Sus scrofa: one gene and its partners. The protein of the gene in region 3 interacts with the protein of the main gene of each other region in a pairwise test. Links are inferred from orthologs where the notes say so. Each region holds a gene or a part of one and is shown on either strand. Other genes may lie near its edges.

Region 1 (7,503 bases), on a different chromosome or scaffold from region 3:
CACAGACATAGAGAGCAGACTTGTGGTTGCCAAAGGGGGAGGGTGGGGGGGGGAGGGAAGGATTGGGAGTTTGGGGTTAGCAGATGAAAGCTGTTATATGTATATGATGGACAAACAGCAAGGTCCTACTGTATAACACAGGGAACTATGTTCAATATCCTGTAATAAACCATAATGAAAAAGAAATTTTTATGCATAATCGAGTCACTTTGTTGTACAGCAGAAATTAACACAACATTGTAAATCAACTATACTTCAATAAAAAAACCAAATGTTTGAGAACGCCACTTGTGTCTTAGCAGGTTAAGAACCCGATACTGTCTCTGTGAGGATGCAGGTTCCATCCCTGGCCTCGCTCAGTGGGTTAAAGATTTGGCATTGCTACAGTATAGGTTGCAAATTTGGCTCAGATGTGGTGTTGCCGCCGTTGTGGTGTAAGCTGCAACTGCAGCTGCTCTGCGTTGACTCCTGGTCTGGAACTTCATATGCTGCAGGTGCGGCTGTTTTAAAAAAAAAAAAAAAAAAAAAAGAACAAAACAAAAACATGTTTTTGTCCAGAATATCCTCAGGGTCAAAATTGCTGATGCCCATCTCTGGCTACTCTTCCATTAACCTCAGACAGCTTTGAAAGGATGTGGCAGGAGGAAACTTTCAGAATCGAAAGTCTTAGACTCTTGCATTGCTCAGAGCATAGGACAGTTCGAGTAAAGCTGAGAACGACGCCCTGTCTCCTGCCCACCTTGATATTCGTCCTGGACATCCCCTCCTTGCTGGGGCCATCAAGGGTCTTTCTTCTTCCTTAGACGGCTTGGAGAGGCATCTGGGACTTTTCTCCATGGGCTTTGAGCTGGGGGAGGAGGCACAGATACAGTTTTAGCAAGGTTGGTTTGTTTGTTTTTGCTTTTTAGGGCTGCACCTGTGGTATATAGAAGGTCCCAGGATAGGGCTGAATCAGAGCTACAGCTGCTGGCCCACGCCTCAGCCACAGCAACTCGGGATCTGAGCCTAGTCTGCGACCTACACCACAGCTCACAACAATGCTGTATCCTTAACCCACTAAGCAAGGCCGGGAATTGAACCCACTTCTTCATGGATACTAGTCGGGTTCATTACTGCTCAGCCACAACAGGAACTCCCACGAGCAGCTTTTAATGCTTTTTCTATAAAGCTGTCTCTCTGAAAGCCGATAGCGCTCATGAGTCATGAATAGAGTTGACATTTTTCCTGTGTTGCATCTTATAGCTCAAGCCCAGCTCTGCCAGCCTTTCCTCAGTGCGGTGCCAGGCAGGCCTCAGCTCTTGCTACCTGGGTTTCCCTGCCATGAATGAGCCTCTGGGCTATGTTCACACCCAGGAGCTTGCAAGTATAGGTCTCTTATCCAGATAATGCATTAATACCAGGGCCTGGGTCCTTTGTTGGAGTTGAAGGTACAACATCACTGATTGTGCCAAAGATTTCATATGATGGAGAGAACTAGGTAGCCTGCTCTTTTCTGGACTCTAAACTAGCTTCTGAATTTCTAAATTGGCTCTGTCATGCATCCTGTTAGGTCCCTGGCAAGTGATCTCCAAGCCAGGCCTCCTCAGTTAGACATGTGTAAGCTCTTGGATGCTCCCTGTTCCATGGCCAAGCCTGGTGCCTGACACCCTCTCGTCCGAGGACTCTTCCCTTTGTCTAAGAAACCTGAGACAAGTTACTCTCTCTTTCTGATATTCCCATGTGCTTTACTCCTCTGTCACTTGTTGCGATCTTGTTTTGGAGTTTGTAATGAGCATTCTGCTTACCCAGCTGAGTCAGAACCCCTTATTTTGGTGTGGACCCCTCCTGCCCAGAACTTGGCATTAAGAGCTTCCTCATCAATGCTGAATGGCCTCCGTCCTGCTGTGGGGGAGAGAGGGCATGCTCCCCTCCTGCCCCTTGTGTGCGCATGCCTGGTCCTTCCTCGTGTGTGTGGCTTTAGAAAATGTTTTATGAAATGCCTTACAAAGAGGCCATGATCTTTGGAATTCTTTAGGAAACCCCCTAAAGTTTGTCTCCTTGGGCTTAATAGTCATAGGATGGGCTGTGAGCAGCCAGAAAGAAGTTGAAGGAGATTTGACCAGTCTATGTAGACTGCTGTAGTCATGTCTGTCAGGTTTGCAGAGTAGCTCATCTGAGGATGAGAAGGTGTATTATCATTTAGGTTGGGATTTGACTAAATATAACAGAAAACCCCAAATAACACTGGCTTAAACATGAGATTTTATCGTCTCTGTCCTGTAAAAAGTCAACTTAGGGCAGGGACCTAATTTACTATTCCTTCATCCTTAGAGTTGCCTCATGATCCAAAATGGCTGCTGAAGCACCAGCCATTGTATTAATATCACAGATGGAAAGACAGGAGGAGTGCTCTTGGAAGTCTCACTCAGTGTCCGTTTATATTTCATTAGCTGAAAGTAACTAGCTATCATGACAACTGGGAAGTAGGGTCTTGGCTGGGACATTGCTTCACCTGGAGACATGAGGGCTCTGTTACCAAGAAAGATGGAGAGAGTAGAGAGTAGAAACAGAACAGATGTCCAGCACTTACTTGAATGAATGGATGGATAAGTGATAGATGCCATCTGGCTTCTGTAGATTAAATATAGACCAAATCCTCATATTAGCAGGATTCACAATATGACAAGGAAGGCACATTTCTGATACCACAGGAGGGAAGGAACCTTGTGGAAACTTCACAAACTCCGCAGGAAGTTGACAGATCATGTTCTTCCAGGTCACTTCAGACGGGCCTCCTCTTTTCCCTGTTTGTAGGGACATGGTTTCCTTGGAATGCAGCAGATGCATGGCAGTGGGTGCGGAGGGGCTGGGTTCAGGTCACAGCAGCCGCATTCTAGAAAGTCCCTACGAGAGCATCTTTTTTTGTTGTTGTTGTTGCTGCTGCTTTCTTGGAAGAAAAAAAACTTCACAATCCAAGCAGGGAGACCTAGAGAAAGAGTTTAGCCTTAAATGTTGCTGAATTGCAATACTAAAATTTTTTTTAACAACTACAGATCCCGTCTCAGAAAATGGTAGACTCCTGTGGGGTTAATTATGGCCCGCTGATGCTTGTTTGAAGTTTGTGGGTGGTCTGTGTGCAGTGGGGGGAGGTGCCCTCCAGCACAGTGGGGCAGGGGGGGCCTTGAGGGCTGTCCTCCCATGGAGGAAGAGCAGTGGGCCTGGAGCCCAGGCTCTGGAGCATTGAGTGTGCTGTCCAGTGTCTTCTCAGGGCACATGTCAGTTCTTGAGGGTGGCCTCTGGTCCCCACTGTGTCACTGAGGCGCACCTGCATGGTCCCAGGACCACATGAGGGGTCTGCAGCAAGCAGGTCTCATGCTTGAAGCTTTAGCCTGGCTTTCATTCAAGGCCTCCATTCTTTTTTTTTTTTTCTTTTTTGTCCTTTTTAGGGCCACACCTGCGGCATATGGAGGCTCCCAGGCTAGGGGTTATATCGGAGCTACAGCTGCCAGCCTTTGCCAGAGCCACAGCTAAGCCAAATTCGAGCCACATCTGCGACCTACACCACAGCTCACAGCAATGCTGGATCCTTGACCCACTGAGCGAGGCCCGGGATCAAACCCGCAACCTCATGGTTCCTAGTCAGATTTGTTTCCACTGCGCCATGAGGGGAACTCCTCAAGGCCTCCATTCCTGACTCCCTTTTGACACCTTGATGGGAGTCTTTGTCAAGCCTTCTGCAGACAACCTGGTTAAATATTCTGTTCTTCCCTGCTCCCCTCCAAGCCGTGTTTTCAGATCATCCTGTCTCCAGGCCTCAGTTCAGTGTCATCTTCCTGTAAGAGGTCTCCCTGGATTCTCTCCACGGAAGGAATTTCTCCGTCCCCTCACTGTGTGACTTTTTTTTTAGTGACCACACTCACAGCATATGGAAATTCCCCAGGCTAGGGACTGAATCTGAGCCACAGCTGTGGCAATGCTGGATCCTTTAATCCACAGGCCAGGGATGGAACCCACGCCTTCTCAGCAACCTGAGCTGCTGCAGTTGGATTCTTAACCCACTGTGCCACAGTGGGAACTCCTCATCTTATTACTTCTGAATGTCCATGCCCGGTTCATCTCCCTGACTGGGTTGTCGTCACCTGAGGGTCGGCTCAGGCGTGACCCAGTTACAGGGTCACTGAAGGATGGAGGGGGCACCCACAGGGTCACACAGCTGTCCCTCGCCCTGGGGGCTGATGGGCTCCAACTGATTTTGTTCCTTTTAACTGTCTTTGGGAAGTGTCCTGGGCCTGTAGTTTCTGAGAACTTCCTCTCAGTCATATGAGACTTGCTCTGGGGATGGGTGGGGGCCCTATTGTTCCCTTTGCCTCTTGAGTCCCAGGGACAGCCCCTGGGGTGTCCCCAGTTTATGTAACTGACTTAGGGATCCAGTTAGCCGAGGCAGTTGGGTAGGAGGCTGCAGCAGACCAGCATCTGGCACGGCCTTGCCTGAACTCTGGTGAGGAGTTCAAGGTGGGCCTGCCAAGAGCAGTGATGAGGGTTTGTTGCCAATTTCGGATGCAATTACATGGTCCACTTTTGGGGGATGTGTTTCTGCTGTATAAAAGCAATGGAATGTGAGTCAGCTATGAACTTACTGTCTTCTAGTTGTCCCAGTAAAAATTGCAAATAGGAGGTGGAATTAGTGTTAATACTTTAACCCAGTATGTACAAAATGTCATCATTTCATCATGTGGTCAACATGGACATTATTAAGGAGATAGCTGTTCTTTTTCTGGACTGAGCCTTTAGTAAGTCTTTGAAATGTGGAGTGTTTTCCATTCAGTTTGGATTCACGTTTTCCTTTCTTCCTAGGCCAGGCTATCGGCTGTCGTTTCGGTTGATTCTCCCACTTGACGTTCCTTGAAAGCAGGGATGGTGTTGTGACAGGGCCTTCCCTCCACCCATCCCACCCACCACTGGTGTCAGCCCGTGTGATTGGAGTGCGAGCCTCTCTGGCAGAGTCACCACTCCGGGGGTGGGACCCGGAGCTGCTGGAATCTGGGCTCGGCTCTGTGAGCTCAGGGCAGCCCCAGCCTCTGGGAGCCACGGTTTCCATTCAGAGTGACACCGTTGGATGGTGCTGTCTGGGGCCTTTCTCGTTCTCACATGGGGCTGGGGAGCACTGCCACCGCTGACCTCATTAGCAAACGAGAGCTGCTCTAGGAGGGGCCCCAGCCAGCTGTACCTGCCGCATGTGGGCTGGGTTGCCGTCTCCAATCCTGACCCAGAGCTGGCATGTTTATCTGGTCTGTTGGGTCCCAGGCTGTGAAGACCCTCCACTCCCTCCACCCAGGATCTACAAGGACCTGCAGGTGCCTGGCCTATTCCCAGGCTGGACAGGCACAGGAGGACAGGACCGGGCCAGGCCCTCAGGAGGGCAGGATGGGCCAGCAGCAGCAGCAGCCCCTGCTGCGTCTGGTTCCTCATGAGCTTTCTCTTGTACAGGCACAGCTGGAAGCCCAGAGAGCCACCCAGGACTTCCAAAGGGCCACGGAGGTGCTCCGTGCCGCCAAGGAGACCATCTCCCTGGCCGAGCAGCGGCTGCTGGAGGATGACAAGCGACAGTTCGACTCAGCCTGGCAGGAGATGCTGAACCACGCCACCCAGAGGGTAGGAGTCATGCTGAGTGCACCTGTGGTGCCGGGGGCTGGAGTAGGGGGCTGGGCTGGGGTAGGGTGCTGGGCTTGTGCCAGCGTGTGCACGTATGCATTGCGCAGGCGTAGGGGTGGGGGTCAGGAGGCTGGGTGGGTGTCTGTGTCAGGGGTGCCCACACCCGTGGGTTATGGTGTACCCAATGGATCCCGACTCCTTGCTGGTTGCTCTGAGCAGAGACGCCTTCCCAGGCATGTTGTACACCATAGGTGGTCATCTCCACGGGGTCTCTGCAGGCCTGGGACTAAGCCGTCGTGGGCGATGACAGTCACCCAGTGTCTGTACCCCTTCCCCATCACTTGAGGTGCGTCTAGTTCAGATCACCCCTGATGGTTCTGACTGGATTAGGCTTCCCAGGGGGACGAGGTCATTCCCCAGGGTCCCCTCCGAGTCCTGGGGGACTGGCCAGGTTTAGAGTGCCAGGTGGAGGACCTGGGTTACTTTGCTGGGCCTGGACTCACACATGTGTGCTGTTGGTGAAAAGTAGGGTTCCTGGTAGATAAAGCCAGAACCAAGGGGGTTCGCAGACTGGTCTTCGGGCTGGGCTGAATCTGGGGAGCCAGCGTGTGCACGGAAAGTGGGCTGTGCTGTATCTTCATCCGGTTTTGACGCCTGTGTTTGGTGCCAGCATTTTCTGGCCCTTTACAATCTCCCAAGACCTGCCCCCTGGCCACATAGCTCAGATCAGAAGTGATGGGGACAGCACTTGGAGCAACTGGACATGTCACTTCTCCTGTCCCTCGTAGGCTCCTGGGCGTTCTCCTGCAGCCTGTTTCTCCTTACACCCTGTCTCCCACCCCCGCCGTGTTTGTTGCAATGGGGTGAGGGGCAAGGCGACACATGGCTTCTGTAGCTCCAACTGAGGCCTTGGATGGAGGGTGAGGGAGTGGGTGGGGGCTGTAACCCTCGTCTGGACTCCCCAAGAGGCTGCCTTGCAGGGCTGGAGTAGAAATGTCAGGAGTTTGGAGTTCCCGTCGCGGTACAGCAGAAACAAATTTGACTGGGAACCATGAGGTTGTGGTTCAGTGGGTTGGGGATCCGGCGTTGCTGTGGTGTGGGTTGTAGATGGCAGCTTGGATCCTGCGTTGCTGTGGTGGCAACAGCTCCGATTAGACCCATGGCCTGGGGACCTCCATGTGCCATGGGTGCGGCCCCAGGGGGACAAAAGACAAAAAAAGAAAAAAAAAAAAAAGAAATGTCAGGAGTTGGAGTTCCCGTTGTGGCTCAGTGGAAATGAATCTGACTAGTATCCATGGGGATGCAGCGCAGGTTTGATATAGGCCTCACTCAGTGGGTTAAGGATCCGGTGTTGCCGTGAGCTGTGGTGTAGGTCGCAGATGTGGCTCGGATCTGGCAGTGCTGTGACTGTGGGGTAGGCCAGTGGCTACAGCTCCGATTCCACCCCTAGCCTGGGAACCTCTATGTGCCGCAGGTGCGGCCCTAAAAAGACAGAAAAGAAAAGAAATGTCAGGAGTTGATGCCAGAGGCTCTCTTTTCAATGTCACCTACAGTGGCTCAAGCCCTTGGGGACCTGAGAGTTAAAGATGGCCTTGTGATTCCTTAAATAGAATGCCTGACACACAAAGACTTAGACTTGGTGTCAAGTCTCTGTTGCCTGTCCCACCTCTCCTGAAGCCCGAGGCTCCTGGCCAGGCTTGCATGGCCTGGGGACTCCTGCCCCCTAGTGGACAGGATGCTTAGAGAGCCAAGCACAGACTGGTACAGCTTTCCTGGGTCCACTGGGGAAATACCAAAGGGAGATGGGAAATCTTAGAAATCTACAAGCCTGACATGTGAAAAGGACAGAGAAAGAAGGAAAGGAAGACGGAA
Region 2 (7,503 bases), on a different chromosome or scaffold from region 3:
AGCTGATAACTTTATGGGGGTTCCCTTAGAGGTAACATTCTGCTTTTCTCCTGCTGCCTTTAGGATCCTCTCTTTATCATTAACTTCTGCCATTTTTATTATAATGTGTCTGCCATTTTTATTATAATGTGTCTTGGGTTCAACTTGTTTGGGGCCCTCTGTGTCTTGAACTCAGTATCCTTTAGATTTGGGAAGTTTCCAGGGATAATTTCTTCAAATATATTTTCCATCCCCTTACCTTTTTCTACTCCTTCTGAAATTCCTATTATGCATAGATTGGCCCACTTTATATTATCCCATAGGTCTCTTATATTGCTTTCATGTTTTTTCATTTGGTTTTCTGTCTACTGACCTGATTGGGGGATTTCCATTATTCTATCTTCCATATCACTAATTCGTTCTTCTGCATTATTCATTCTGGTTTTTACTGCCCTTACTTCAGTTTGTATCTCTGCAAATGGATTTTTTAGTTTTTCTTGACTCCTCCTTATATTTTCTAGTTCCTTTCTGAGGGTGTCTGCATTACTGTTCATATCTTCTCTTAATTCCTTCAGTATTTTCACTATTTCTCTTTTGAACGCCAGGTCTGTCAGACTGCAGAGATCTGTTTCATTGTTGACTGCTTTAGGTGAGTTCTCCTGTTGGTTTAACTGGGGGTGGTTTCTCAGCTTCTTCATCTTGCTTGTTGTTTTCTTTTTCCTGGTGGAGTTGTATTCTCCGTGGCCAGGCAGTATTTGCCTTGGCACTGCTGTGGAATGTTTCCTGAGGGCTGGCGTTGTTGGTCAGTCTTCTTTGAGGCAGCATGGTTTTTCCAGAGGGTGGGCGGGGCTGACAGGGTCTCTCTAGGCAAAGGAGGACTTCCTGAGGGCAGACAGGACTGGGAGGTCCGCACCATGATGGGAGCAGATTTCACTTGGCTGGGCAGAGCTTGCTCTGGTGTTTTTGGGCTGTGGGGCTCTTTCAGGGGGCTGGCGGTGCTGGGCAGCTGTTCCATAGGAGTGCAGCACCCCCCGAGGGCTGAAGCAGCTAGCTGGGCAGCTCAGAACCCAAGAGGCTCTTCCCCAGGGCAGCCCGACTTGGAAGGACTGCCTGAGAATGGAGGCAGATTTTTCACAGCCTGGCCGAGCTTATTCTAGCTTTTCTGGGCTGCAGACCTTTTCCCAGCGGCTGCCAGTATTGGATGCTGCTCTGCGGGGGTGTAGCCCCTCTAGAGAGCAAGCAGGCCAGGGCAGGGAAAGCCCCTGCAGTGGTAGGCTTCTGGCAAATGTTGAGGCCAGCCCTCCAGGATGGCAGGCAGCCCTAGGTCCAGTGCGCACGTGAGGGGTAGGGGGAGGGGGGATGCACTGGGAAGCACAGCTTTCTGATAGCTGGTGGGCTGGTGAGCTCGCTGTGGCATGGGGAGTATTCTATGGTAGCCCACCCCTTCTTCTCTCCCCTCCCCAACACTGGTGCCTTGTCTCTCCTGCAGATCCAGTTCTTCTCCCAGGTTCCCTCTGATGTGGCTTTCCACTTCCCAGCCCTTAGTGTATTGCTCCCTCCCCCTGCAATGCTCTGCTTTCTAGTCTCCCAAACAGTCTCTGCCCTGTAAAACCTGACAGACTGGTTACTAGGCCCTCCCCACAAGCAGTCTACACACCACCCACCCCAACCCGTTCCAGGGGACTAACCTCCGGAGCCGAGGTCTCTCTGCCCAGCCCCGACCCAAGCGTCTCAATTTTTGGTGACTGTGCCAGTAGTTCAGATGATCTGTTCGGTTCTCACTCTGCTTTTCAGAACTCCGACTTCCTGCTGCACTCTTCTCTGTATCTGGAGATTCCTCCGATTGGGCTGATCTTTCCATCGAGTAGGTGACTTTCCAGGGTGTGGGATCCCTTTCTCCTCCACAGTTCCCTTTTGGGAGCACCTATCCAGCTCGGATTCCCCTTCTCTCACTCTCCTCTTTTCTCTTGTTTTACCCAGTTATGTCACGAGATTCTTGCCATCATTGGAGTTTAGGTTCTTCCGACAGCGATTGATTGCTGTTCTGTGTGAGTCGCTTAACCTGTAGATGTGTTTTTGTTGTGTTTGTGGGAGAAGGCGAGTGTGTCCCCCTACTCTTCCGCCATCTTGCCTCCTCCCCCCATTTATTTATTTTTGTTTTTATTGCCATTACTCTAAGAGGTGGATCTGATAAGATATTGCTGTGATTTATGTTGGAGAGTGTTCAGCCTATGTTTTCCTCTCAGAGTTTTATCTGGTCTTATATCTAATTCTTTAATCTATTTTGAGCTTTTTTAAATCTATTTGGGATTTATTTTTGTGTATGGGGTTTGGAAGTGTTCTAATTTCATTATTTTACATGTTGCTGTCCAGTTTTCCCAGCACCACTTATTGAAGGGGCTGTCTTTTCTCCATTGTATATTCTTGCCTCCTTTGTCATAGATGAGTTGACTGTAGGTGCACGGGTTTAATTCTGGGCTTTCTATGCTGTTCCACTGATCTATATTTCTGTCTTTTTGCCAGTACCACACGATGACTGTAGCTTTGTTGTATAGTCTGAAGTCCGGGAGCCTGATTCCTCCAGCTCCATTTTTCTTTTTCAGAATGGCTTTGGCTATTCTGGGTCTTCTGTGCTTCCAAACAAACTTTAAAATATTTTGTTCGAGTTCTGTGAAAAATGTCCTTGGTAATTTGATAGGGATTTCATTGAATCTGTAGATTGCCTTGGGTGGTATAGTCGTTTTGACAATATTGGCTCTTCCAGTCCAAGAACATCATATGTGTTTCCATCCGTTTGTGTCACCTTTGATTTCTTTCATGAGCATCTTATAGTTTTCAGAGTACAGGTTTTTTGTCTCTTTAGATAGGTTTATTCCTAAGTATTTTAATCTCTTTGATGTGATAATAAATGGGATTATTTCTCTAATTTCTCTTTCTGACCTTTCATTGTTAGTATATAGAAATGCACTTGATTTCTGTATTAATTTTGTATGCTGCAACTTTGCCACATCCATTAATGAGCTCTAACAGTTTTCTGGCAGGGTCTTCAGGATTCTCTAGGCATGGTATCATGTCATCTGCAAATAGTGATAGTTGTACTTCTTCCTTTCCAATTTGGATTCCTTTTATTTCTTTTTCTTCTTAGATTGCCATGGCTAGGACTAGCAAAACTATTTTGAATAGTAGTGGCGAGAGCGGACATCCTTGTCTTGTTCCTGATCTCAGCGGGAATTCTTTCAGCTTTTTACCATTGAGAAAAGCTGATGTTAGCTCTGAGTTTGTCATATATGGTCTTTATTATGTTGAGGTAGGTTCCCTCTATGCCCACTTTCTGAAGGGTTTTTATCAGAAATGGGTGTTGGATTTTGTCAAAGGCTTTTTCTGCATCTATTGTAGGATATTTCTTTAGACATCAACAAAGTAAAATAACTTGATTTCAGTGGTTTCAGGGTTTTCATTTTGTTTTAAATACATAATTTTATTTTTGTCTTACAGCTTGGAATCTGTGAGTGCTACATGTAAACAGCTGAGCCAAGAGCTAATGGAAAAATATGAAGAGCTGAAGAAGATGGAAGTGCATAACAATGAGTACAGGGCTGAGATTAAGAAGGTAAAGGTCCACATGCCTGGGATTGCAGAGCCCTGAGTGTTTACAGCCTGAGCTGCGGGTTGGAGATTACAGGAGTATTTTTAAGGAGAGAAAAGTGTGTAGTGCAGAGCCCATTTGATGCTCAGGAGTAGAGAGTACCTGAAAGGTGCTTAGGAGAGTGCCTTCTATGTCATCCTCAGGGATATGCTATGTAAGTATTTTCCAGATAATTGAAGCCTGCCCCCTTTGAACTCCAGTTATATTTTAAACATGTCTTGATGAAAAGTTTTCTAAAAGATACACACCTCAGAGTTCCCATTGTGGCCCAGCAATAGCAAACCCGACCAGTATCCACGAAGATGTCAGTTCGATCTCTGGCCTCGCTCAGTGGGTTAAAGGATCCGGGGTTGCCATGAGCTTTGGCGTAAGTCACACACGTGGCTTGAATCCGGAGTTGCTGTGGCTGTGGTATAGGCCAGCGGCTGTAGCTCCAATTGAGTCCCTAGCCTGGGAACTTCCACATGCCATGGATTCAGCTCTGAAAAGACGAAAAGAAAAGATACACACCTTGCATGCACAAACACATTATGTGAGCTGGCATTGAATATTTTCTTACTGACTGAAGGTGATGATGAGGGTGTGCTATGGGTAGTTATATCCGAAATGGCGTATGACGTGTGCAGAGTTTATCTCTATGTTAATGGGTCCTGGCTGTTGACTCAGATTTTTTATTACTTCTTCAAGATTACTTCTAGCCCCTTTCTTCTTCTGTTATCTTCTATGGACTATGAAACCATATAAGCAAAAATTTTAGATTTGCAGCTGAAAAAAGAATGAAGGTTACAGGAGCTGTCCTCTAAACAATGTATACTTGGGCTTTAATACTGGTTCTCAGCACTTGAGTAACCCATCTTTCCCTGTTTTGTTTTGTTTGTTTGTTTATTTTTTCTTTTAGGGCCACATGTGTGGCATATGGAAATTCCAGGCTAGGGGTTGAATTGGAGCTGCAGTTGCTGGTTTCCGCCACAGCCACAGCAACACAGGATCTGAGCCACATTTGCCACCTATGCCACAGCTTGAGGCAACACCAGATCCTTAACCCACCGAGTGAGGCCAGGGATCGAACCTGCATCCCCATGGATTCTAGTCGGATTCTTAACCTGCTGAGCCACAAAAGGAACTCCCCATCTCCCCCTGTTTTAAGATCTAATAACTAATTGTGGGTATAGCCATCTGACTTTCAATACAGATATGCAACTTGGTAAACTTGCTAATTTTCTACAGATTTAATCAGGGAAATTTATGTCTTGAGGTAAGGTAAAAATTACTTTGTTATTTTAACTATTAATGTATTTTTCTGTCTATATATTTTCTCTCAATTTTTCATGCTTTCTATTTCTTTGTAGTTGAAAGAACAGATTTTACAGGCCGAACAGAGTTATAGTTCTGTCCTAGAAGGAATGAAGATGGAGATTTCCCAACTAACTCGAGAGTTACATCAGCGAGATATCACTATTGCTTCCACCAAAAGTTCTTCATCTGACATGGAAAGGCGACTTAAAGTAGAGATACAAAAGGCAGAAGAAAAAGCAGTAGAGCATAAGGTGAAACTTGGACTAAAACTTTTTTATTTTTGTCTTTTTGTCTTCCTAGGGCCTCACCCATGGCATACGGAGGTTCCCAGGCTAGGGGTCTAATTGGAGCTGTAGCTGCTGGCCTACACCACAGCCACAGCAGCACCATATCTGAGCCTCGTCTGTGACCTACACCACAGCTGCTAGCAACGCCGGATCCTTAACCCACTGAAGGAGGCCAGGGATCAAACCCCCAACCTCAAGGTTCCTAGTCAGATTCATTTCCACTGTTCCACGACAGGAACTCCAGGACTAAAACTCCTTATTTGAAGTTTGTTTTTGAAGATTCGGTTTATTAAAAGTATAATTTCCACAGTATTTAATTCAGTAAATTTTTATTAGTCCTCTTCTTCAGGTTGAGGGTGGGCTGGTTTATCTAGTGAAGATCGGTGGGGAGGTAAGAGAAGATGCTGATACAGACACGTGATGAGACAGTTTCTGTGGTGTGTAGTGAGGGTGAGCCATGTTCACTGAGACAGACTAGAGCTCAGGCAGGGCCAGTGGCAAGGGATGAGACTGGAATGCAGGGATCAGCTCCAGAAGGGCCTTGCCAACCTGTGCAGGAGTTTTCGTGTTACCTCGAGGGCCTGTAGAAAATGACATTAAGCAGGAATAAGAGGTCTCTGTGGCTGTCTTGTGGAGAATAAGCACGGAGGCAAGGAGACCACTTAGATTCTATCACAGCTGCAAGATGGTGGCCTGAGCAGTGTACATGGGAGACAGAGGGAAATGGATGAATTCTGGAGATACTTGGCTGGTAAAATGGACTGGTCTTTGTTCAGTTGATTGGACAGGAAGAATGAATTAGAGTTAGGGAAAGATGTCACTCAGGATTCCAGCCTGGGCAACAGGAATAGAAAGTGATGCTTTTTAGTGAAATGCAGAAAAGATAGGGAGTAGGTTTGGGCAGGATAATGAATTTGCATCAAAGGTATACAAAGTAGGGAAGTTGGCAGAGGGGACATTGGTTTGACATAAAGGCTGGACTTTCATATGGAAATATATAAATTCTGGAGTCAGTTCTCCAGAAGACTTGGATGGAGTTCAAGATTAAAATCAAGGTAAGACATTTTGCATGAGGTCGATGTTTGAAACCCTGGGAGAATTAGAGGATTATGAGAAAGCAGAGGGTATGAAGAGGAGAGACTCGCACCAAACTTAGGAAACTACTCATTTAGAGTAGAAAGGTGTTGGAATGGAGCTAAGAAGAAAAGTAGCAGTAAGGAAGGAAACCACATAGTCCTTGCAGGAGAAGCAGAAAGCTAAAAGTAGGGATGGTCAAGCAGAAAAGCTAAGGAGAAAGGGCACTAAAAATAAGTTAGTACCTTTTGCAAGGAGTGTAGTCCACATGCTGTTGGAGGTAGAGGCCAGTAAGAGTAGGCGACACAGAAGTGCTTAGGGAGTTAGGAGTGCCCTGTCATCATGTTAGAATAATGTTCCAATTGGGTGCATTTTAAGTCATTTTGAAACACCTTTTCAAAAAGCATTTTAGAAATCATTCGTATATATGCATGAAGAATATAACTTCACTTAATGAAAATTACATGTGGAAAAATTATATAAGATGCATTTGATTTAACTGATTATTTTATCTATTATTTTTTCTATTTTCCCTTCTCAGGAGATTTTGAATCAGCTGGAGTCACTCAAATTAGAAAATCGTCATCTTTCTGAAATGGTGATGAAATTGGAATTGGGTTTACATGAGGTACGTAAGTAGAAACTAAAGTTTTTCTACTATCCGAGCCTTTAAGAAATCACTTTGTAAAGCAAAAGTTCAAATCAAATTGTGAAATGCTCCTTCTCCAGAAACTTTCTCAAATAAAAAGAAGTCAAGACACTTGATGGGGGTGAGCAAAATATGACTCTCCACTTCAGCAATTGGAAGATTTTTTTAAATATTATGTAATAAAATATGCGTATAGTCTGTATCCTTAATAGTGAGAATGTATATAATATATATATGTCTAGCATAGTGTCTCGCATTTAGTAAGTGCACAGTAAAGGTTAGATGCTATAATTATTACTGTAATTATAATGTTTATAATATCTTTTCATTATGAAGTGTGTCAGCTTTTAAATAATTTGGTTTCATATCATATCTATCTTATGTTTTTATAAGATATGTCATTTTAATCAAACATAGTAGAATCTTTTATGTTCAGAGTATTTTAGTAAATAGTGTAATGGACACAGGGATGAATTAAAATAGGACTCTTGCCTTTAAGAGATTGAGGGTAAATCACAATGAAAATTAGAATATTTTAAACTGAATAATGTTGAAAATATGTCATTCACTTT
Region 3 (7,503 bases):
TAGTAAACGCGGGGGTCAACTCGCACCCGAATTCCGTTTACAGTACCTGAAGGTCCTCACTCTAGCGTGTGGCCCTACAGACCTGGACGAGCTGGAACACTGGTCCACAGCAGGGGGTCAGGTCCCACCTTAGAAGATGCTTTTTTCTTTTTTTTTTTTTAAAAAAATTGAAATGTATTTGGAATACAACACTGCATACCTTTAATAGAGGTTGCTTTTTCAAATTCAAAGCCCAACACATGTTGTTGCCTCAGCAGCCAACCTGCTCTCCCCTCAAGGAGAAGCACAGCCATGCAAAGTTTAGTTAAAAGTAATGGGGTACAGTGGGTGCAGTGGGGAGGCTCCTGACTGGGCTGCAGGATCTACAACCAGTCCTGAGACCATCTCCCTGTGCCTCACCACTGGGAGGGGGAGGGCAGTTCGTTCCCAGGCACTTCAAGGGACTGTGTTAGCTCCCCCGCCAGGACAGTGAGATGATCTTCGCTGCCTCCTCAGGACAGAAGCTACCACGGGTCATCACTTATGTGAAGGCCATCAGAAATAAAGCTCATCGTCCCACAAACCCAAGCCAAGTATTTGAGAGAAATACATCTTAGAAACTTACATCATCTTTGGCTTGGAAGAGGTACTCGTTGCCATCATTTAGTCTGTAATTGGAAGGAAGAAAGTCAATCACAGTATAACTTAAGAGAAAAATCTCCCCCAGCCGGCGGCATATCCTATGTGGGATCCAAGCAGGTCACAGGGATCATACCAGCAATGCCCATCAGAGTCCGCTGGGGCCCAGCAGCCGCCCCTGGACCTCAAGAAGCCAGATAATTGGGCCATGAGACACAGGTACTGGGGTGGTTCAATCATGGGAAGGATCAAAAAAGTTCCAGGCATACCGACACCTGGATCCGTCGTGGCTAAGACTACTTGGGGGTCTGATCATTGCTTTAAACTGAATGTAACAGAAAGCTCTTTAAAAAGCTTTTGAGCCCTCTTGAAATTCTGCCCTGAACTTACATCTGCCACATTTACAAATACCATACTTTCGAAACTGACACCGAAAAAGTCTCCTAGATTTCCCTCACATATGTCTCAGAATGGAAGAAACTGCCCTTGCGAGGCCATGGTCACCACCCAGAAAGGCCACTGGCTGGGAAGGTACCCTAGTTCACTGCTGCAGTCAAGACGAAGGGGTGTTGTGGGTACACAGGGGTTTGGTGTCCTCGTCAATACCCCGACCCTCTGAAGCTGCATCAAGAAAGTACAAAGAGGGAGGCTGGCCATCTGCTCCTGGCCTTAAAGTGTGTAAGGTGTCCCAGGTCCCTTGGAGCCCATATGCCTGTCAACAGAGCTCAAGACATCACATCATCTGAACTGCTCTCCTTCGAGGTCCTTGGCCTTGTCCAGCTGGCACGAGACACACATGAAACTGAGGACCCAACCTTTTCAGATCCAAAGCAACCAGTCAACATGTTCACTAACATGTTTACTTTTTAAATTCTTTTTAAAGAAGAACTGACTTTGGGAGTTCCCATGCGGCTCAGTGGGTTATAGATCTGGCATTGTCACTGCTGTGACTCAGGTTGCTGCTGTGGCAGGAACTTCCATATGCTATAAGCATGGCCAAAAAAGCAAGAGAAAGAAAAAAAAAAAAAAAACTGATTTTTTTTTCTTTCCATTTCCAAGTATAAGCAGAACTCCTGAGCTTGGATCCTCTCTTGTGGGGGGCTGTTTGTATTCTACAGGGTAGAGATACTTGGAACCAGATGCCTCTGGGACCATCTGGAACAGCCGCTGGGTCAGGGGAGCACAGCACCACCACCACCCCACCCCACCCCGGCTTCCTATTTGTCTCCATCCGGCTCCAGGATGACTCACTTGACCCATCTCCAGATAAGTCACGAGTAAAGAACAGCATCTCCTGGGTCTGGATAAACTGCAAAGATGGGGAAGCTGTTTTTCTAAGCTTCCCTTAAACTGTGAAATGTGAACAGCTCACCATGTTTTAGGAAACACTAAATTCCAGCTTCTGAAAGTGAAAGCTCCTTTTCTTCAGTGTTCAGCTGTTCCATTAACCACCAATATGCTGGTGTCAGGCCACAATGCCCAGCATCCTAACCAAGGTGTGTGTCTATCCAGTTTGTTGCTTTATTAGTGATTTTTTTTTTCTTCTTTTTAGGGCTGCATCCACAGGAAATGAAGGTTCCCAGGCTAGGGGTCAAACCAGAGCCACAGCCACTGGCCTACATCACAGCCACAGCAACGCGGGATCCGAGCTATGTCTGCAACCTACATCACAGCTCACGACAATCCTGGACCCTTAACCCACCGAGCGAGGCCAGGGATCGAACCCGCAACCTCATGATTCCTAGTTGGGTTCGTTAACCACTGAGCCATGAAGGGAACTCCTATCAGTGATATTTTAAATGAGAGAGAGGAACCGATGGATGATAGCATCCGTCTAAGGAAACGATCCCCGAGGGTGAAAATGAACACACACCCACTCTGACAACCCTCACCTTAGCTTGAACACGTGTTTCTTCTTTTTGTAATCGAGGGCCACTTCACAGATGGCTTCTTTCAAACTCACAGGGACCTCGCTGTGGTAGGGAATTCCGGAAGCAGCTGTCTTTGCGTCTTTGTAGAAACCCATTTCTTGGTTATTTATGACACAGTAAACATTGTGCCAGGACCTGAGCAGTAAAGAAAGGGACGTCAGGGTTCTGCTGCACACTCCCTTCAAGAACCAAGAGTTTAAGATGAAAATAATCCCCACACAACATTCTCTGATTTCTTGTTAAAAGTCCTTCCTAAATTCTGCTAAAAAAGAAACAACAGGAGTTCCCGTCATGGCGCAGTGGTTAATGAATCCAACTAGGAACCATGAGGTTTCGGGTTCGATCCCTGGCCTTGCTCGGTGGGTTAAGGATCTGGCGTTGCCGTGAGCTGCGGTATAGGTTACAGATGCGGCTCGGATCCCACGTTAATGTGGCTTTGGTATAGGCTGGCGGCTACAGCTCCAATTACAGCTCTAGCCTGGGAACCTCCATATGCCACGGGAGTGGCCCTAGAAAAAGCAAAAAGACAAAAAGACAAAAAAAAAAAAAAGAAACAATGGAACTTTATTCCTATGTGTTTGCCTGAGACAAGGCACCTGTTGCTATGGTGGCAGGCTTTTGAGGGTTGTTTCTCACTCTGAATTTGAGGAAAGACACAGTGCCTTCTTTTATTAAATAAAGGTACTCTTGGCTCTGACGGGAAAAATTCTGGTTGGTGTTTGGTACTCTTTGCCGCAGCACCCTCTTGTGGTAATGGGGTACAGGCCAGGCTCCTTACTGGTAACATGCCTGTCCTTAAGCAGCTCCTCAGCCTTAGCTTCATTCTCTGATGTGGGCTGGCAACCTGACAGGGAGGCAGATCCAGGGCCATTGGCACTTATGGTAGCACTGAATTAGAAAAAGGTAGGCTTTTCCCCATGACATGGCAAATGGCCAGGATATTCTGATTTTCTTAGAACAAGGCACTTTACTGCCACCCAACTGTACTGGCAAATAAGTCCATACTGTCCTCAACGTGGATGGCAGCTCTCAGATGGGACTTCCTTGTACAGTGTACAACATGGACAACCACACATGCTGGCCCCCCAGGCAGTTTAGCTTACCAGTTAAGCACACAGGTTGTAGAGTCAGATGAGTCTCACCCTAGCTTTGCCATTTACTACGTTACTATACAAGGTGAGCTTTCTTAACCTCTCAGAGCTTCTGTTTTTCTCACTTGTAAATGGAAACAATACAAGGAAGGCTACCGGGAGATAACAAATATACAGATGGATATGGAGGTAAGGGAGGGGAAGTGGGGAATGTGCTAAAACACCCCTCAAAGAGAAAGCAACAGTGAAGTCATTTCACTCCAGGGAACACTCCTGCACCTTAATCTAGAGCACTCCTTCTCAGGAGAACAAAGGCCTCCTGTTGACACTTCCACGCACACGGAACTCCCACTTCTCTCCGTGAATAAAAAGTGCCACATGCCCACTCCCCAGTGTCGCCCCCCTTTCAAGCAGGAGCGGCCTGCCGCCACCTCTAATGAGCCGACCTCCCACGGGACCACCTCAGCCTCTGCTGCTGTTACCTGCTTGAGGCTTTCTTGTTGTGGGCCTCCCACTCGTGCTTCCGATTCAGGAAGCCTTCCATCTGGGCCGAGGGCGTCTCCTGGGTTCTGGCCGGCAAGGTGGCGGCACTCTGGGCAGGGAGGGAGGTCTTGGCTTTGCGGTCGGAGGTTGGGGAGGGGATGGGGCTGGACTCCTTCGAGCTTGTCCTCTGTTCTGCGGCGCCGTTGACCATTTCACTCGTGTCCACCGTTTCTGCCATCTAGGGACAGCGGAGAGGCCATTCAGCTGACCCCGTGAGCCCCGGGGGTGACCACATACGCTCTGACTCGCACACGTGGCTGTGTATAAATGCCTGGCACAGATCGAGGCAGTACAGTAAAACCATCGCACACCCCACAAAGCCAGCTGGACACCAGGGACATTAGAAGGTGGGGATGGATTAATACCCGCCCGTTTACGGGGAAATGAGAAAAGCGAAATGCTAGGCTGAGTTTTACTGCACTCTGCTCCTCTGATCAATCCATTTTCTCTAAGAGAACTCAGATCATTTCCTCTTAAGGTTACTTTAAAACAAAAGGACAACGATAACAATCACACATATTAAATATGAGAGCGGACGTTATACAGCAGCCACCTTACAACCAAGGACGCCACCAGAAGGGCTGGAAGTTGAAGCGAAAGGGCATTCACAAACAGATGGATAGATAACTCTATCAGAACTACACAGCATTCCCCCAAAGTCAGACAAGAAAGACCTCTGCTTTCTGAAAATGCTCTCCGGCTCTCCTCCCCCACCCCTCGACACATCGTCATAAACACATGCAGAAATTAGGACGGCAATCATGCACTTCACATCTACCATCCCCGTTAGACTTTGGGACTTAAGAGCTGGAAGGAAATGAGGCAAGTCAACAAACATCAATGTAACCACATCTGCCCAAGTTGTATCGTGAGTGGGTTGTAGTTTGTGTTAAAGGAGCTGGAAAAGCCAATCACAGTCACTCAACACCACACGGCTATTTACCCCCAAACAAAGACAGAACCAGGGCCTTCCCCATCACGTGTTGGTTGATCACGGTGCCTTGCTGCACTGAGACGAGAAAGCCCAGACAGCCAGGCCTCCAGCGGCTCTGACCCTCCAGGCTGGAGACGTCTTCGGGAGCTGTTCCTTCCCAAGCTCATTTATATTGTAACCCTCCTGGCTTTTCGGCTTGGGCAATGCAGCAGGGTCTCCGTTCATTATCGCTTTCAGCCTGTGTGCCATCAACTGGGTACCATGAACTGGAGCGGCCCCTGGCTGATACACCCAGGGCGTGGGATTAGCGAGTTACTAAAGCTGGGTGTGGCTGACGCTTTAGTGGGTTACAGACGACCTGCACCCCTCATACACGGACAGACATGGAGGTGTCAATGGCACGCTCATTAGGTACATCCCCCACCACTGCTGCCCGGAGCCAAGTGACACCAAATTAGCGGCAACCACCTCAACAGGACCAATGGCAGAAGGGCCACCTCTGCTTGTACACTCAGATGTCAATTCTCAGGAACTGGGTCGCTCCATTAGATCTTCTCTAAGGGGTGGGGTGGGGATCAAGTTTTTATTCTGTCTATGAAACTATCACTGTTAGCACCAGGGCTCAAGGTGAGACTAGAGGCTATGCAACTGAAGGGTACTTTTGATTAGGACTCTTTATCCACAGAGCAATGGGAAAAAATGGATTCTTAGGGCAGGAGATGCCTGGTGAGTATCCTGGACTTGCAAGTGACAGCCTGTGGACATGAGCTTATGAGCAAAAGGCTATTTACATATTTCTCTCTTGCCTTTCACTTTTAAAGGAGAGACAGAGGGGGGAATAATAACCAAAACACAAAACTCTTAAGTCAAAAAGAAGTGAGTGGATTTTAAAGTTGACAAATCTGTTCTAATGGGAGGTTTCAGGAAACTTCTGATGGGGAGCGAGTGTGAGATTGGTCTGGAAGGCCTGTACCAGGCATGAGTCCAGGGAGACATGGGGTTAGTGTGTATAGAAACCAGGTTAAAAAAAAAATTAGTGCTGCAGGTGTGACTCGAAAACTGCTAGTGACAGCAAGGACCTGGACAGAGGAAGATTTACTGGAAGAATGCTATAATTTGTCATACTTGGTCAGACTTCAAGGTAGGTGAAGGCCAGGGGAAGCCTCTTCTAGGGGAAATTCTGCAGCAAAAATTTTTTTTTCCTTTAGAGTTAGAAGGAAAGAGAAAACCCCAAACCAGTAATGCACAGATGAGTAATGTTTATGCAAATGAATCAGTAACCAAGAAAACAAGGAAAATAAAAGGAACAAAATGAATTTTAATGGACATGTGCTTAAGCATGCCAACAGACAACACACCACTAGAGACAAACATCAAAAGCAAATCATAGTGCTGTGACCAAACAGTGGGTACATGTGGATACGCCCCTGCCCCCACCCCACGTTGCTTCTCCTTAGCGATTAGTCCAGAATGCTTTAGTGGCTGGGTACACCTGAGATATTTCAATCAGGAGGTGAACAGAAATGCAACGTGACAACTAGTAGCACAAGAAACACCTGATTGGTATTCTAAGTGCACAAAGCAACACTATTTTCAAGTTCATTAACTTGAGTCTCTGCACCATAACTCAGAAGAGTAAGAGCTTTTCTTCTTCTGATACAATCCAATTATAATTAAAAACATGTCTTGGCAAGCTACAATTTAAAAATCTAGACAAAAATAGGTATGACGACAAATGCCACAAACATAATAGCACACCTTTCTTGTGTGCTTATGTGGCTTTTTTTTGGTTTGGTTTTGGTCTTCTGAATACAAAAAACATCAAATTGTTTATCAGTCCTGATGATACAAAATTTATATATATATGGACACATCACATATATACATATAAATCAATGACACATAATTTAGAGCCAGAAATACATGTCAGGGCTCCCTAATGACCAAGGATGAAGCCGTATTTTTTGAAAATGAATTTTGGTGTGTTTCAAAGCAGAGACCCAGTAATGGTGCATACTACCCCCAGAACATAAGAAGCTTGGCATCTATCTATATACCCATCTACAGTCGCAAGTAGATAGATATGTACATAGAAATGAGAAAAAAACAAACAAGATGCTATATGATGTTATCCTGACAAAAGAAAAAAAAAAAAAAAGACATGCATCATGAAATGAAAAGACAAATTAGACTTAACTCATGGAGAACACATATCACAACAGGTTTTCTGATTCCACTAACGTCTAAATATGGCAAATGAGCAAGTGAATGTCTCACAAGGCTTTGATGTAATATGGATTTGGTTTGGTTTTGCTTTTATCAGTACCAGGAAATCACCTCTTGTGTTAGCTTTTATTCCTAAGGAATAGAATTTGTTAAAGCATCT

What was found. The genes of interacting proteins can lie anywhere in the genome.
Region 1: the proteins of SPTBN1 (region 3) and SH3BP5 interact in a two-hybrid assay, tested with the Homo sapiens proteins (2 studies listed by BioGRID and IntAct). The link is inferred for Sus scrofa from reciprocal best matches to the Homo sapiens genes SPTBN1 and SH3BP5.
Region 2: the proteins of SPTBN1 (region 3) and CEP63 interact in a two-hybrid assay, tested with the Homo sapiens proteins (2 studies listed by BioGRID and IntAct). The link is inferred for Sus scrofa from reciprocal best matches to the Homo sapiens genes SPTBN1 and CEP63.

The regions. Positions count from the first base shown.
Region 1 is NC_010455.5:2,517,870-2,525,372, reverse strand, and holds part of SH3BP5 (SH3 domain-binding protein 5), read left to right. Parts: intron 1-5,466; coding exon 5,467-5,631; intron 5,632-7,503. UniProt on the Homo sapiens protein: Functions as a guanine nucleotide exchange factor (GEF) with specificity for RAB11A and RAB25. Inhibits the auto- and transphosphorylation activity of BTK. Plays a negative regulatory role in BTK-related cytoplasmic signaling in B-cells.
Region 2 is NC_010455.5:75,690,770-75,698,272, forward strand, and holds part of CEP63 (centrosomal protein of 63 kDa), read left to right. Parts: intron 1-3,474; coding exon 3,475-3,589; intron 3,590-4,974; coding exon 4,975-5,172; intron 5,173-6,823; coding exon 6,824-6,910; intron 6,911-7,503. UniProt on the Homo sapiens protein: Required for normal spindle assembly.
Region 3 is NC_010445.4:86,586,717-86,594,219, forward strand, and holds part of SPTBN1 (spectrin beta chain, non-erythrocytic 1), read right to left. Parts: exon of another isoform or gene 7,251-7,503; coding exon of another isoform or gene 7,236-7,250; exon of another isoform or gene 4,362-7,235; coding exon 4,123-4,361; intron 2,685-4,122; coding exon 2,511-2,684; intron 648-2,510; coding exon 605-647; intron 1-604. UniProt on the Homo sapiens protein: Fodrin, which seems to be involved in secretion, interacts with calmodulin in a calcium-dependent manner and is thus candidate for the calcium-dependent movement of the cytoskeleton at the membrane.